Linked DNA regions of Lytechinus pictus. The protein of the gene in region 1 purifies or fractionates together with the protein of each later gene. This does not show direct contact. Links are inferred from orthologs where the notes say so. Each region holds a gene or a part of one and is shown on either strand. Other genes may lie near its edges.

Evidence for each region.
Region 2: the proteins of serine/threonine-protein phosphatase 6 catalytic subunit (region 1) and mitogen-activated protein kinase kinase kinase 7-like purify together in Homo sapiens (affinity purification with western blotting; 3 studies listed by BioGRID and IntAct, with this or other methods). This does not show direct contact. The link is inferred for Lytechinus pictus from reciprocal best matches to the Homo sapiens genes PPP6C and MAP3K7.

The regions. Positions count from the first base shown.
Region 1 is NC_087259.1:23,572,447-23,580,690, forward strand, and holds the start of serine/threonine-protein phosphatase 6 catalytic subunit, read left to right. Parts: upstream 1-5,043; 5' UTR 5,044-5,135; intron 5,136-5,903; 5' UTR 5,904-5,966; coding exon 5,967-5,969; intron 5,970-6,446; coding exon 6,447-6,588; intron 6,589-7,492; coding exon 7,493-7,572; intron 7,573-8,104; coding exon 8,105-8,222; intron 8,223-8,244. Other genes in the region: trichohyalin-like, read right to left, coding at 381-778, 1,114-1,182, 1,550-2,036.
Region 2 is NC_087248.1:22,971,918-22,979,808, reverse strand, and holds the start of mitogen-activated protein kinase kinase kinase 7-like, read left to right. Parts: upstream 1-4,858; 5' UTR 4,859-4,956; coding exon 4,957-5,025; intron 5,026-6,937; coding exon 6,938-7,048; intron 7,049-7,595; coding exon 7,596-7,849; intron 7,850-7,891. UniProt on the Homo sapiens protein: Serine/threonine kinase which acts as an essential component of the MAP kinase signal transduction pathway. Plays an important role in the cascades of cellular responses evoked by changes in the environment.

The DNA.
Region 1 (8,244 bases):
ATACAGATGTACAAAAGTTCCAATAGCAAGTAAATGGTTACTTGATGTAAAAAAGAACTACATAAAAACAAAGTTATATGTTTATAAAAATCTATAAGTGCTAAGAACAAAAAGTACTAACATCTACAATTTACATGTAAATTCCCTTGCCCTTGGCAATGATTCTGGCAGCACTGAGATGGATGGCTAAGTAAAAACAAGGGTTTCAGCATGGCAAGAGTACAGGTGAATGATATGCAGCAACAAGTACTGAGGAAAGAAATTGTGATGAACAAAAATCCTGAAAAGTGTCATCTCATATGACAAATACATGTTTACCACCGTGGGAATTCCAAACACACACACTCCTCCACTTGAAGAATGCATTATGTTTGTAACAATTACAGTGGAGTGTAATCGTGATTGTAGGGCCAGGAATTTGGAGACCGCTCTGGACCGGACTGGGAGTTGTTTCCCTGTTGCTGCCACATTGAAGTTGACGACTGCCGCATACCAGCCATTAAGGCCTGAAGCATTTGGAGTTGATGCTGTCTATCACGTTCTTTTTCTTGCTCTCTATGCTCCCTCTCTTCTCTTCTCCTCCTCTCCTTCTCCTCTAGTTTTTTTTCTTCAGTACGCTGTGCCTTCATTAGGAGCTCACGCTCCCACTCCATTTGGCGCTGCATGAACCGATCCTCCCTAGCATTGAAGGCATTTGTACTGTCCTCCTCCAGTGTCTTTATCTCCTTGGCTATCAGTCCGAAGGACTCCTGCAGCTTTGATTTCTTCCGCTTTTCCCCTGTTATGAAGTAGGTAGTATAAAATACATCGTAAATAAAAAAAAATCAATCAAATGTGATAGCGGTAAGAAAGGTATACAATCATTTTATTTCTTTCAACTTGTTACACACATACTTTTCTGTATTTGACATAAGGCATGCAATATCACACTTCTAATAGCTAATACAACAAATCAAGTGAGAAAACCTTGAGTTGCAAAAAAAAATCATACTGCATGAAAGCAACATCAACGGGATGTAAAAGGCCCCTTTTCTTGAAAATTTGCTGAATCGAATTCAAATATCATATGAACTATAAATAAGCAAATGTATGGAAACAATCTGTTTATATTACCAGTTGCCTTACGTCCATTAGCAGATGATGTTGAAGGTCCCTCTAGATCCTCCGGTGGAAAATTGCCAACTAAAGAAAATGAGGGATAGAAAAGCGATTACAATAAGTGACTACAATAATAAACATTTCATTTTTATGCATAAAATGAAGGGGAACTAATTTTTATGTTGTTATGTGTCACTGAAGTAAAAACATTTTAAAACAAAGGCTAACTTTCAATACATTTTTATTTTAGTAAATTCAAATCAGTTCCTTTCATATTACTCAGTATAAAATGATACATCAAGACAATATAATGATACCAATAATGTTTATTTTAAATGCTCACACTGAGAGGGTAAGAGCCAAAAAGGATTAGTCTTTATAATTACACATGTATATACAAATAAACATGTATATGTGATTACAAATGAAAAAAGGAAGAGGAATCCTTTACCCAATTCTGTTGGTGCTTCCACATCATTTTCCTCCAGTTCATCATCCGTTATACTTCTATCTTCTTCGGCTCCATCCTCCTCCTCCTCTCTCGGCAGTGAATCAGAGTCCACCGAGTCTAGCGACTCAGATTGATCCTCCTCCTCTGGTTGCGACGCCAGAATGGCAACTGGTGCAGTCTCTGGTCTGCCCCCAAAGATCTCCTGCAGTTCGCTATAGAATTTACATGTAATTCTCCCCCTGCCTGATCGATTGTTATTGTCCTCCGTCTTTCGGAAGGACGCTCTTAGTTGTTTAATTTTCCGCTTGATTTGGTCCTCTGCCCTTTCGAACCCCCTTTCTTTCATCAATTGGCATATCTTACGAAATACCGTTTTGTTCCTTACTGTGCCATCCATCTGTTCTTGAATGTTTTTCTCCCGCCAAATATTCAGGAGGCACAGCGTCTCCACATCTTCCCACAGACTCCCTCTCCCTGTTGGTGCCATTTTGATCTAAAATGAGAGAACAAATACAAATACAAATTAATAATGGTAACCACAAAGATTACGATGTGGTAAAATTATTATATAAAATTATGTGTAACATCTATTAATCACCTTTTAGGATTTTTGATCTTGTCAACAACTTCTCTTGTCAGGGGACAGTTGACATGAATATCATCAAAAATTCAAATTTAATGATTCAGATTGATCGACCACCTAGATATATGAAGGCCCTTCTCCCCCTGCTATGTAACATTTGATGATCGATGGACAAATTATTCCGCTAAAGTTCCATATGTACCCATCACTAAAATTGAATAAAACAATTGAAAAATATGGGTATGACTTAGAATGACATAACTAATATAAATAAAGTATACAAAATATGGGAAATCACTTTCTAAAATAACTATCTAGAAATCCATATAGTATACAAAATATGGGAAATAATATTCTAAAAATCTATCAAGTCCATCAAGATAAACTCCTACAGCTCGGCAACTAACACGTGGCCAGCCGCTGATCTCTGAATACCGGTGGAAGAAGAACTTATTCATACTTTATTTACAAGTTTCTTTTGTTATCATATCACGTGTTAATCTGTTAATGTATACAATTTTTAATACAATTTGCTTCTAGTGATAATTTTAGAGACGGTTTAATGATCATTTAGAGATGGTAGGCCTAGAGTGTTAATTATAGAGACAGTTAATACTATAATAGTAAGGTACGCAGAGTCTGTTACAGCTAGGGTTAGGGTTCGCAGACCCCGGCGTCCATCCTAGAGTACGCGGCCTCCTGATGACTTTGGTTGGTTAGGGATAGGACTTCGAAGTTAGAGTTGTGTATATTATTGTACTGTAATCTGTATTAACATTGTTTTATGCACTCACCGCTAGAATCTACTTATTTTAGTCTACTTCTTTTTTGTGGGGATTTTACAGGCAGACACTATTTTATATGTAGATCTAGACCCTACTCATTTGTTTCAATGTCTAGCGACATATTTCATGTCCAATTTCTGACTATGTGCGACTCCGACTGAGTGGATTATTGGCATTTGAAATAATTAATGGCAATTGTCTAGTTTCATGTCTCATGGCCTGGCCTGCCCCTGGCCATGCCTTCAAAATCAAAGTTAAATACTTCATCAAGTTCATGCCTCATGATCATGATGACTTTGTTTGAGGCATAAGATGATGTATTAACTCTGACAGTCTGACTCCGAGTCTGATGATGATGAGTCATAATTTCATAATCATATGAGAAAAATTATGACGGCTCATGATGTATGGCACTCCTGTCCAGGCTATTGTTTTTAGTCTGTCTATTAGTATTGATAAATTATCATCGCCAACAAAAAAATAATGATCATTCTTCAGATGGTGCAATCACAGTAGCGATGTATTTAAAAACATCGAAATAAACAGGAAATGATCAGACGATCGAAAATCATAATTCCCAAACCCACAGAAATATAGGGATGGGACTGAATTACAAGTCACCATCACTCATCAGTTCTGTTCGGAGAAAATACCAGGAATAAACGGTTTAAACTTTTAGCCCACCAGTACAGAATATGTCGTGTCTTAGTGCAGGCTGCTGGATATGAGGAAATTAAAATTTAAAGCAATAAATGATGAAAAACAATGTAATTTTACGCTCGGGGCGAGGCTTACCTATAATATATACTGCATGCCTGGTCCAAATGGCAAAAGCGCGCCCGGCCGATGCATTGTTGATGATGACAGGTCGCGTCACTTCCGCTTATAAGCCGGCGCCGAGTCCACTTTGGTGTTACACCTACCGATTGCGGGACTGAGTCCGGACTCGGGCCGGCCTCAAACCACATCCAGAGGTGGACTGAGTCCACCTGGCCTCAGTCCGGCCTCAGTCCGGCTTTTCAAAAAAAGTTGATGTTACACATACGTCGAGCCGCCTCCGGGGCCGGCCTCAGTCCACTTGCAAACGTATGTGTAACAGGGGTCTTATATTAACCATGATTTAGCAATATGTAATCGCCAAGTTATGTTCACCTATCACTTTTTATAGGCCCGTCCTAGACGGAACGTATATCACGCTCAATGTCCGTCCGTTAACTTTTTCTTGTAAACGCGATAACTTTAGTTTGACTTAACCTAGGCTCATATAATTTGGTGTATTATCATTATGATATATAGCATTGATCCCAGGAAGCCTATTGATTTTGAGGTGCAAAGGTCAAGGTTACAGTGACATATTTTCATCTTAACCTTCTGCAGTCCTTGTAAAGGAGATTACTTCAATTTTACTTAATCTAGGCTCATATAATTTGATGTGTATGTAACTAGCATGTAATTGTATCCCAGGAAGCCAATTGATTTTGAGGTCAAAAGGTCAAGGTCACACTGTCATGTTTTCATCTTACCCTTCTGAAGTCCTTAAGGTGATATTTAGTTTAACTTATTCTAGGCTCATATAATTTGGTGTGTATGATACTAGCCTAGATCCTAGGAAACCTATTAATTTTGAGGACAAAAATCAAGGTCACACCGACATGTTTTCATCTTTAATACCCTTCTAAAATCCTTCTAAACGCGATAACTTTAATTTAACCAAGGCTCATATAATTTGGTGTGTATGATACTAGCATGGATCCCAGGAAGCCTATCGATTTTGAGGTCAAAAGGTCAAAGGTCAAGTCGCCACCTTCCACTTTTCTTGCTTGACCAATAACTCCATTTTCCATTTTACAGACGGGCGTATTATGTGCTCGCCTTAAGTAGCGACACTCGTTTTCAGCTAAGACAAAAGGGGGAGGGGTGGTGAGATATTTGTTTTATAGGATGATATTTTTACAACCTTTCTACCTTGGACCCTTGTGAATCGGATGGGAATAATGGCAATAGCCATGTCTTTGTAATTTTTAAGAAAAATTGCTTTTCCTTGACCATGGGTACTTTTCTAAATCCCTGATTCTGCATTTGGTGTTTCAATCAAATTATTTCTCCACTTTTTGTTCCCCAGAAATTGTGTGATGTGGTATGTGACCTGCAGTTAGAGGAATGCAACGTTCAACCGGTATCAACTCCAGTTACAGTGTGTGGGGATATACATGGACAGGTAAATTTCTTGGGTATATTGCATTCACAACAACAAAAGTGACTCCAATTGACCAATGTTATGATATCCATATTTTTTTTCTTATTCGAAATAGAAATCTGAGAATTTAAAATAACATACAAGTAAATTTCATTGGTCTGTGGTCGGTTTTGTTGATGTAACTGTTACATTAGATTTTCAATTAGATGATAGCTCCTTGTTGGTCATACTTTTTCCCTATCCTTTTTTTTAATCTTTTCCTTTTCTTTCCGTCCCGTAATCTTTTCTGGTCTTTACCTTCCCTGTGTCCTTCTTTTCTTCCTTTCTGTCTACCTCATCATCTCCTTTCTCCTTGCCCCTTTCTTTTTCTGCTCATCCTTTCATCAGTCCTCCTCCTCCCCATTATCCTTCTTCCCCTCTTTCGCTTCTATTCTTCACCCTTCTCCTTCATCTTCCATCCTTGCTTGCACCATCCCATCTTCATTTCCCCCCCCCCCCCCACCACATCGCATAAAATCACTTTTAGCCCTTTACTGTATGTCCAGATATTAGAGTCATCATAACTGTGTTCTCAATGATGCTAAGAAGTAAGGATTTTTTTGTTTGCATGTATACATATCATAATTATTTTGGGAGTATTCCATTTAACATTTGCTTTTCATCTTTTTCAGACAAATCCAATTTATCGTGTCTCATAATTTTTACCTAGACACCATTTGTTTTACCATATTTCATTTAGTAAGTACTTGTTCATGTATTTTTATTAATATTCTTTTCCCCATTTCACAGTTTTATGACTTGGAAGAGCTTTTCAGGACTGGTGGTCAGATCCCAGATACAAGTTATATTTTCATGGTAAGAAATTCTTTTTTTATCACTTGATTGGGGGAAACTTATCAAGACATCACTGAGCTTTATGTTATGTGGACCCGATCTCGTTATTGATCAAAGTGCATACAACAACCCCCCCCAAAAAAAAAAAAAAAAAATTAATTTCAAGATGAAAACAAAGGTTAAAAAATCATTGTTATGAAGATTTTGATAGTTTGAAAAAAAATTAGGTAAAAAAAAAGGTAAAAGATAGGTAATGGCAATTTTATGGCTATTCAAGAAAGTCATTAAATTCCATCTATTTTGCTAATGAGGACAATGAATTGCATGGACTAATCTGACCATTCTGAGGTGTTGAATTATTATTTGACTAGCCCAAACTTGGAGTTGTGTGTCTGCAGTGCTTTGCAACCAAAAGGAAATGTGATATTTCTAATGACCATTGGATTGGATAGGACTTTTACTTTGTTTGATAAATCCCATCCATTCTTTCCCTTCCAGGGTGACTTTGTAGACCGAGGTTATTACAGCTTAGAGACATTCACTAGGTTACTCACACTAAAAGCAAAATGGCCAGACCGTATTGTTCTGTTGAGAGGGAATCATGAAAGCAGACAAATTACACAAGTCTATGGATTCTATGGTAAGCCATCTTTATTCCAGAGCCTGCCAACCATTATAAAAACAAAATGTATTTATGAAAATTTGACAGGAATAAGAAGGGGTATAACAAATTATGAATTTGTAGTTGAAAGAGAAAGAAGTATCAAAAAGAGAAGGCAAAGTTGTCAGTGTCATAGAAATACATGTATTGTCATATATTAACATGTACGCAAGGGCTGAACAGAAGACATACATTTATTTCAATGAGTTAGTTTTGGATGGAGTGCTTGCTATAGCAGAGGTTGTAATTCCTGGGCCTCGTCTTACAAGAGTTGCGATTGATCCGATCAACCACAACTATGGAAAGCCAGCAACGCCCATATCTAAAATGCATGTTTGTTCAAAATATTTTCTAGATACGATACATACCCTTTAATACATTCATCTTAGTCTTGACAATTTGTTATGCTTTCTCTTTGTTAACAAAGGACATTGTGCAAATTTCTGATAGGAAAAATTATGACAATGATGGATTTCCATATAGTTGAGGTTGATCGAATCAATCGCAACTCTGTAAGACGGGGCCCAGGTGCAAATCTCGCCGGATTAGACAACATAGTTTTGAGAGGCAGACTACTGTACAAAAACAATATGGCCCTTGAAATGGTGTTGTGTTTAATCCGGCTGCATCTTTGCCTGGTAGTCCTATACCTCCCTGCAAGTATCGGCAGAGGGTGACAGTTGAATGACAATTAAAAGTAGGGTTGATTGAAAAAATACACATTTTCATGGAGAAATAATGGATTAATTAGACCAACTGGTGTTAGACCAACTATTATTAGACCAAGGAGCCGTTAGCCCTTGTAGCTTCTAATTTATTTGTAGTGAAACATGACCAATGACATGTGAAAACTCTAAACTGCTCCCTTTTTTTTCATTTTCAGATGAATGTCAGACGAAATATGGAAATGCTAATGCATGGAGGTACTGCACCAAAGTCTTTGATCTTCTCACAATCGCTGCAGTAAGTTTCAAGTGAAGAAAATTGTTTTATTGTTGATGAGGTTGCCAAATGTGATGATGTGAATATATTATTAAATTGAAGAGATGATTTTTAGTGGGAGAGAGGGGATTTGAAGATAGGGTGACTTTTGCAGTTGGAATGAAACTTACTGCATTAATTGTTGTCAAGAGACAAAATGGTGCATGAAGACAAGAAACAAACGTGAATTGAAGTTTTATATGTATGTAGTATATTTTTGAGAAGATGTAAATTCCTGTAGAACAAAAGACATCTTTATAAAATGCAACATAAAAAATTGTACATTTTGTTTACGTTGCCAATGTGAGGATCTCCAAAGCATTTAGTGATCTTAAGTTCTCAATATTCAAATCCTTTATAACTTTGTGATTAATTTAATCTTTCTTAATCATCCATTGATCTGTTTTTTCAATTTTCAAGTATTAAGTTTTGGATGCAATTCATCTGGTTTCAAGAGTGTAATTCCATAAATTTAAATTTCTAATTGTTTATTGCTCCTTTGTGTCTTTGCAAGATCATTGATGAGCAGGTTCTGTGTGTACATGGAGGTCTGTCACCAGATGTCAAGACCATCGATCAAATCAGAATGATAGAACGAGCTCAGGAAATACCTCATAAAGGAGCATTCTGTGATATCCTTTACAAACCAATTAT
Region 2 (7,891 bases), on another chromosome or scaffold:
AGATCAAGAGGAGGGGAAAAGGGGGGGGGGCTGAAGCCCCCCCCCCCCTTCTCTCACTTTTTCCCAAAACCGTGTACAAAAAACGTAAAAATTACCATGATATGATTGTGATTTTTTGCATGGTCAGCCGCCCCCCCCCCCTCTTCCACTTTATTGAACCGTTCCGCGGCCCCTGAATACCTGTTTGAGTATCAGGTATACATATTTGCAGATGATACACAAATCTTTGATACCAGTATTTCTATCCAAATCAACTAAGTGGTCCAAAAGATGGAAATGTTGGAAATTTAAATGTAAGGTGGTTCATATATATGGGAAAGAACTTCAAGAAGAACCACACAATGAATGGAGTCGGACAGGCCAAAGACCTTCGGAGTAATTATTGATAAGGAAATAGATTTCCACCAGAATGTGGCAAATCCAGATTCAAGCAAATGAAATTGAAGGAATGATAAAGAGAACATTTCGGAAAATATCAAAGGATATGCTTCCCATTTTGTCCACCATACTTGTACGACCTCATCTTGAATATGATAACATTGAACTGTGGCATTCATAAATTGGACTAAGATAAAGTAGAAAAGGTGCAACCAGGGGTGCAACACGAAGAGCAACAAAAAGCTTCACTGAGTTCTACGATCGAGAGCTAAATTATGAAGAACGTTTGAAAGCACTCAATCTACAAAAGAGGTGATATGACTGCAGTCTTCAAAATTCTGACGGGTCGACTTGAAATTCTGCCGGAAATATTTTTTTACACAGTAAAAAAAAGATTATACAACGCTGTTTACTATATGAACCTTACAGTAATTGTTTAAACAGTTTAAACAACTGTTTAAATTTTAAGCAACAAAGTTTAATTTTCAATATCTTATTTTCAATAAATTAAACATGATTGTTTAAACGGTTAAACAAATACTGTATATAAGGTTCATATAGTAAACAGCGTTGCATAAAATCTTAAACAGCGTTTTTACTGTGTACAGTGCAGAGTAACCAGAGGACACAATCAAAACTCTTCATGAAAAAGATCAAGACTGGATGTTAGGAGTAATGTTTTACTCCATGAGTTGTAAGAGATTGGAGCAATCTACCTCGAGAAATTGTAGAGGCAAAGTGATTTTTAAATGTTTAAAAAATCGGATTGACGAATTTGATGGAATGGGTTATTTAAATACCACTAATTCAAGATGCACAGTCAAGTTTAAATTAGCCATAGAAGGATACATTCTAAAAATCAAGGATTTAAAATAAATCCAGATCGGCTGTGGATAGTGACCAGCCGAATGTTGGATTTATTTTGAATCTTTAGGATTAACTTACTAATCTCAAAGGATTTAAATTCAAATATTTTAGATTTATATTTCAGTGTACAAGGTTTGAAACTAAATCTAATATTCGGCTGGTCACTATTCACAGCCGATCTGGATTTATTTAAAATCCTTAATTGATTTTAGAGTATAGTAGCAATCAACATCGATATCAAACGTTAAAGGAGAAATCTACACTGTAAAAAAAAATTAGTAGAAATTACTTAATAAAATTGTGGCAAAAAATTGCCTTAATTTTTTCAAGTATTTATGACTTTGGCAGTTTTAAGTAAAATTTACTTATTTTCTTTGCTTCCATTTTACTCAAGAAAATTAAGTTACAATAACTTAATTCAATTAAGTAAAACAATCACTAAAATATTTGAAAATATCAAATGGGGGAGTGGATGGACTTTCGTGATTCGAAAGTCCGCTCCCCCATCGTCCCACTTTTGGTGGCATCATTTTCATTTTATACATGTTTTATCCAAATATTAAACTTTGTGAATTGTCACTTACCTGTACATGTATAGGTACTGACATTGATATTTATACGCGATCGTTTCATTCTTACAAATAAAACAGTGAGAATAATTTTCTGCTAAATGACTATTTAATGTTGCCTTTTCTTTGATTCAACAAAAGAATACAATAGTTAGCACACCCTTATCCAAAACAATTTCAAACACAAATAGAAATGACAGTTATTAAAAAAAAAACATTTACTTGCTCTAATGAATATTCATGCATTATTTAAATATGGCGTTAATTGAAAATATAAGTACATTCAACATTATTTTATAAGTAATAATCATCTTTGCCTAATTGAGTTAGATTTACTCAATCAAAGCAAGCTATCAATACGCGAATTTTCTTAAATGTATATTGAACCCAAATAAATCAAGTAAATCAAGTAAATTAAAAGACAAGTTGAAACTACTTAAAAACAACGAAAAATAATTACAAATTGTAAATTCTACTTAAATACATTAAGTGTTAACTACTGATTCAATGTTTTTTTTTTACAGTGTAGGGCCCTGGGCACGATTTTGTAGTAGGGTCGCTGATGTAAATTTGACAAGCAAAAATAAAAGAGGGAGGGGTTCACAACAAATTGAAGGCCATTTTGATCCCGAGAAGTTTGACAAGAAAAAAAGAAGATAAAAGAAAAAAGGTTCCACTACAAAATATAAGTAATTTTGGTTACATTTGTCAATTTTTTAACACCTACCAGAACTCCAAGGGGTGCTGCCTAGCGCCTGTAATATACGCAGCACCCCCAAGGAAAATCGCGGTCCGGGTGCAGAAATCAGCACCCCCGCTTCCCAGGGCCATGGAGAAATCCTATTCATCCGTACTATCCTAATGTGATGTGATTGTATTTCTCTTTCAGATCGGAATAAGGAATTGAAGCAGCCTCTGTGATAATTTTTATTTCTTTGCAAACGCAGCCATGAAAATGAAACATATCCGCATTACAAGGTTTTAAAGTAGGCCTATAACAAACAGGTGCGTCGTCACCGTCCCATTGGTTACCGCGCTCTGATTGGATAAAAGTTTTTACTCCTCGTCGGTGCCATTGTGACGTCACAATCTAAAAGTTCGTTAAGTGTGACATCACAATGGCACCTGCGCGGAATAAAACTTTTATCCAATCAGGGCGCGGTATAACCAACTGAATGGTGAAGGCGCACCTGTACCTGCATAATAATGGTGAAAGTAGGTCACACCGGACCGGACCATGCATGATGCAATTTGTTTTTATGGCATTTTATGCAATCATATTGTTGTCCTGTTAACTGTTTTGTGGAAAATAAACGAAAATTTAAAATGTCATAACTTTCTTATTTTTCATCCAATTTTGATGAAATTTTCAATATTATGCTTGTTTGATTTTTCTCTATTATTTCAAATCAACATTTTTCTGGGGTGGACTTGACCTTTAACATACTTTACATGGAAAAATCGTATAATCGTGATGATAATGCAATTATAAAATCTGGAAAACAATTGAAAAAAAAGTAGGCCCTATTCATAATTTATGAATGAGTGCGGAGGCAATTACAAATGCAATTATTGGTGCTGCCACCTTCACAAAAACTGGAAACTGAATATATGATATTGTGGAGTATAATCATGATGTCATGAATACTGAATACCAGATTGAGCATAAAAGGGGGAAATACACATTTTAACACAATGACACAAAGATAATTACTCCAAAAAACGAAAGGCGAAAGAGAAAAGAAAATTTGGTCAAACATTATTAGAATATTTACTGAGAAGTTGGGTTTTGATCTCCTTTTAAAAACATTTAATGATAGATTTAACATAAAGTGGTATTTTGTTCCAGATAATATTGGTCCTTTGTAAAACATACAATTCTTTGCTAAAGAGGTGATATTTTGGGTAGGTGGAAGTTTGAAGATCCCCTAGATCGTCTAAAAATATAATACAGAAATTACACACAAAAAGGAATGCTTTCGAAAGAACAGCTTGTTTATGCAATAAATAACTCGACATCGAGATATAAATTTTATTCAGTGTTGCAAATTGATAAGTTTCAATAATACGACTCGGGTCAAACTCTTTATTTATGCCTATACACCATTGAAATTTTAAACAATCATACCCCTTTTGGGAAAGTGTATGAAAAATGAAAAAAAAAAAAAAAATCACGTACATAACCGGGACAAGACCCCCCACAAAAAAGAAAGAAAAAAAAAAAAATAGATAAATAGATAAATAAATGAATAAATGAATAAATGAATAAATGAATAAATGAATAAATGAATAAATGAATAAATAAAAATAAACAAAATAAATAAATAAATCAAATACAAACAAAACAGGAAGCCCGAATCATGGAAAGCGAAGATCGAAGAGAAGGTGGGAGGGGGAGAACTGAAGAGGAAAAAAAGAGGAGTGGGAGAGGGGCCGAGGGGGGGGGGGGGGTGGGCTGGAGAGAGGAGGAGGAGCCTGCTGATTGGTAGAAACGTACGTTGGAGATTCGAGGTTAGGGCTGTATGGATAAGATTTCTCTACTGAAACTACTGAAACTACTTTTTTAATGTTATTATTACGCACTATTTAAAGAGAGAGAACTCAGAGATCCGTATTTTGCACCGAAAATAATTTGACAGATTGCATTTTTTTGTCTAGTTATTTGTTTGATTGTTTCGTGTTTTGTTCCACTGAAGCCCGAGAAGATTGGTCTTTTTTGTCTTGCGTTGTGTTAACGAGAATATTTGGTGTTTGTTTGGACTTTGGAGGAAGCCGGGGAGGAAGGGGCGGGGGGTCTGAGTGAAAAAAAATTCAAACAAATTTGTAGTTCGTAATTAAAAAGAAATCAATAGAATAGAGTTTTGTGATGCATTTTCAATTCATTTTTTTTTATTTGGGGGGGGGGGGTCTCAAAGGAAGGTAAAATGTTGCAAATATTTTTGGCTTTTTAAGTTGTATTTTAGATCAAACTGATCCGTAACATTATTGTAAATCATTGACATTGATTGTCGATTGATCGCCAGCGCACCAGCGCCCTTCAAATGGGGAATTCCCTTTTGTGAATTATCTCGGTGCGGCGAAACAGATGTCGTATCGGGATGAAACCTTTTATTTCTCCAGAATAAAGTAGCATTTAACAAAAATGGCGCGCCTGGAATCCCAGATGAGCTTCAAGGAGGAAGTTGATTTCAACGATTTAGAATTTGAGAGGGTAAGACCTTTGCATTAATTGTTTTTTTTGTGTGTTGGGTGGGGACACCAGACAGACTGCATTGCAGTGGAGTGCATTGTAAAGTTTACATGTAGTCCGGTACGTTTTTATTTGTGCTGTGTTGTGTATTTGTGCGGTGTACATGTATGGTAGTGGATCGTATTACCGAACACTTCATGAATTTGATCATATCAAACACATTATTCCAATAAAATTCACCAAACTTTCACCATAAATACACAAATACCTACAAGATATAAATATGCAGAAATTTTGCCGAAATTGTTTTTCATTTTTACGACATCAGCTTCCAATCGGACCTCTCTCCGGCTCCGCAAGTGAAATATTTTGGTCACTTGAAAAAGGTATCGTATTACCGAACGTGTGTTTTCTATGGGAAAAGTTGGGAAAACAACAAAGTCACTGATGAGCTATTTTGACCATATATTATTGTTTTGAGGATATAAAGACTTCGAAATTGTGTTTTTGATCATTTTCCATCATTTTTCTATTCAAGTTCCCTTTTGAAGGATGTTGTAAAGGTTTGAGCGTATTTGATTATTTTCTGACGCATATGATGCGCGCGTTCGGTAATACAAGGCCGGTCGGTAATACAATCACTCACTATATGATGCAGAAGCAGGGAATAGATATTGCCTATTAGGCTATTACTCAAAGTTTTTTAATGCTGAGCTCCCAGCTATTAAAGTTAAATAATGGTCCTGGATGGGTTCAAGAAATGTTGGGGGTAACAGTTTGTATTGTTATATAAGACAAGTCCACCCCAACAGATTATTTTGATAAAATTAAAAGAGAAAATTCAAACATACAACTTAAATAATGAACAAGTGCAAGCATAAGACATAACACTGAGAATTTCATCAAAATTGGATGTAAAATAAGAAAGTTATGACATTTTAAAGTTTCGCTTAAAGGGATCGTTTAACTTTGTGAGCAGCTGATTTAAAAAATTCTCAAACTGAGTTGAAACGTGCGTATGAGTGCCATTATTTGTCCTCAAAAACCCTGAAACAGACCACAATATAGGATGAAAAACTCTAATTTAGATACAAGTAGCAATTTATTAGCCTGATTTTGAGAACCGTCTAGTAGACGGGTTCAGCTTATGACCAGTTTTCTCCAATTCAAAAAGTCCGTTGGCTATTTTGACTGCCTTCTGTTGTGTGTATCTCCTATACACACACTATTAGCTGCACTGTACATTCAGTGTATACCTTGTACACACTGTATGTAGGTCATGCTGTGTTCATCTAGAATTAATGTGTTGTGCACAGATTCCCTGTATACACATAGTCATTGAAACCAACTCCCAATTATTTCAAACTTTGGTTTACATCTCCAAGGTTTTAAAATTGATCCTGTAAATATAATACTTTGAAACTTTTGGGTTAGTATTTTTACACTATAAGCCTCATGTCTAGCCCATTTTCAGGAACCAAAAGGATAATTTTTCAAATCGGAACAAAGTGAAATGATCACTTTAATTTCACAAAACAGTTTATTATAGGCACATCCTGGACGGTATGCAAATGAGGAGACTGATGTCATCATCCACTCGCTATTTCTTTTGTATTTTATTATAATGAAATATGGTATATTTTTCTAGACCCCTATTCTAATTTTCTCCCCATTGTCCTGTGAAAGAAAGTTTTATTCATCCTTGAACATGTGAATTTACCATTGTTTTAAGGTTTTATGGGTCAGTGAAGTTGGTACTTATTGTCGAACCTGTAAAAAATGAAATATGGAATAATTCAGACAATAAAAAATACAAAAGAAATAGTGAGTGGGAACATCATTGTCTTTCTCATTTCCATATCACTGTCTCTAAATGAAATTTGTTAGGTCGAGCATTCATTATATATAATTGGACTTTGTTTTGTACATGTAGGTCGTAGGCAAAGGAGCGTTTGGAGTAGTAAGTAAAGCAAAATGGCGATCTATGAATGTGGCTGTCAAGATGATCGAATCAGAAGAGGAGATCAAAGCCTTCAGAGTCGAGGTAAGTCGTATATCTTTTTACTTTTTGAAGGCCCCCAAAACAGTTCCATGACCAAGATATAAACTAGGGAAAAAAGGACAGGAAATAGGTGAAATATATTGTCAAAGTCTAACAAAATTAGCTACTCGTATTAAAAATGCTGTAATTTTTTTTGTTCCTCACTTGCAACTTATTAAACAAATTTTCTGCCACCTTAAAATATTTGGCTCAATATGCCACTGTTTTTTATGATGGTGGTGGTGATGATGATGATAATGGTGATGATGATGGTGATGATGATGGTAATGATGATGATGAAAATGGTAATTGACTAATGGTTATGATGATGATGATGATGCTGATGATGGTGATAAGGATGATGATGATGGTTGTGATGGTGGTGATGATAACGGTGATGTTGATGATGATGATAATGCTGCTGCTGATGCAAAAAAAAAAGTTGAGAACATACGATTTTAGGATGAAGAAGACAATATTTATAATGTTGATGCCGAATAATGGCAATAATGATGATGCACATCTCACTGAAAAAAAATCTAAATTTCAGGTCAGGCAGCTTTCCCGAGTGGACCATCCAAACATCGTCAAGCTCTACGGGGCGTGCACCACCCGCCCCGTCTGCCTGGTGATGGAGTATGCCGAGGGCGGGTCGCTGTACAATGTCCTTCACAGCAGCCAGCCGCAGCCCATCTACAAGGCTGCCCACGCCATGAGCTGGGCCTTGCAGTGTGCCAAGGGGGTCGACTACCTTCACTGTATGACGCCAAAGAAGTTAATACACAGGGATTTAAAACCAGCAAAGTAAGTAAAGTGTCAATAATAATAATAATGATAATAATTTAC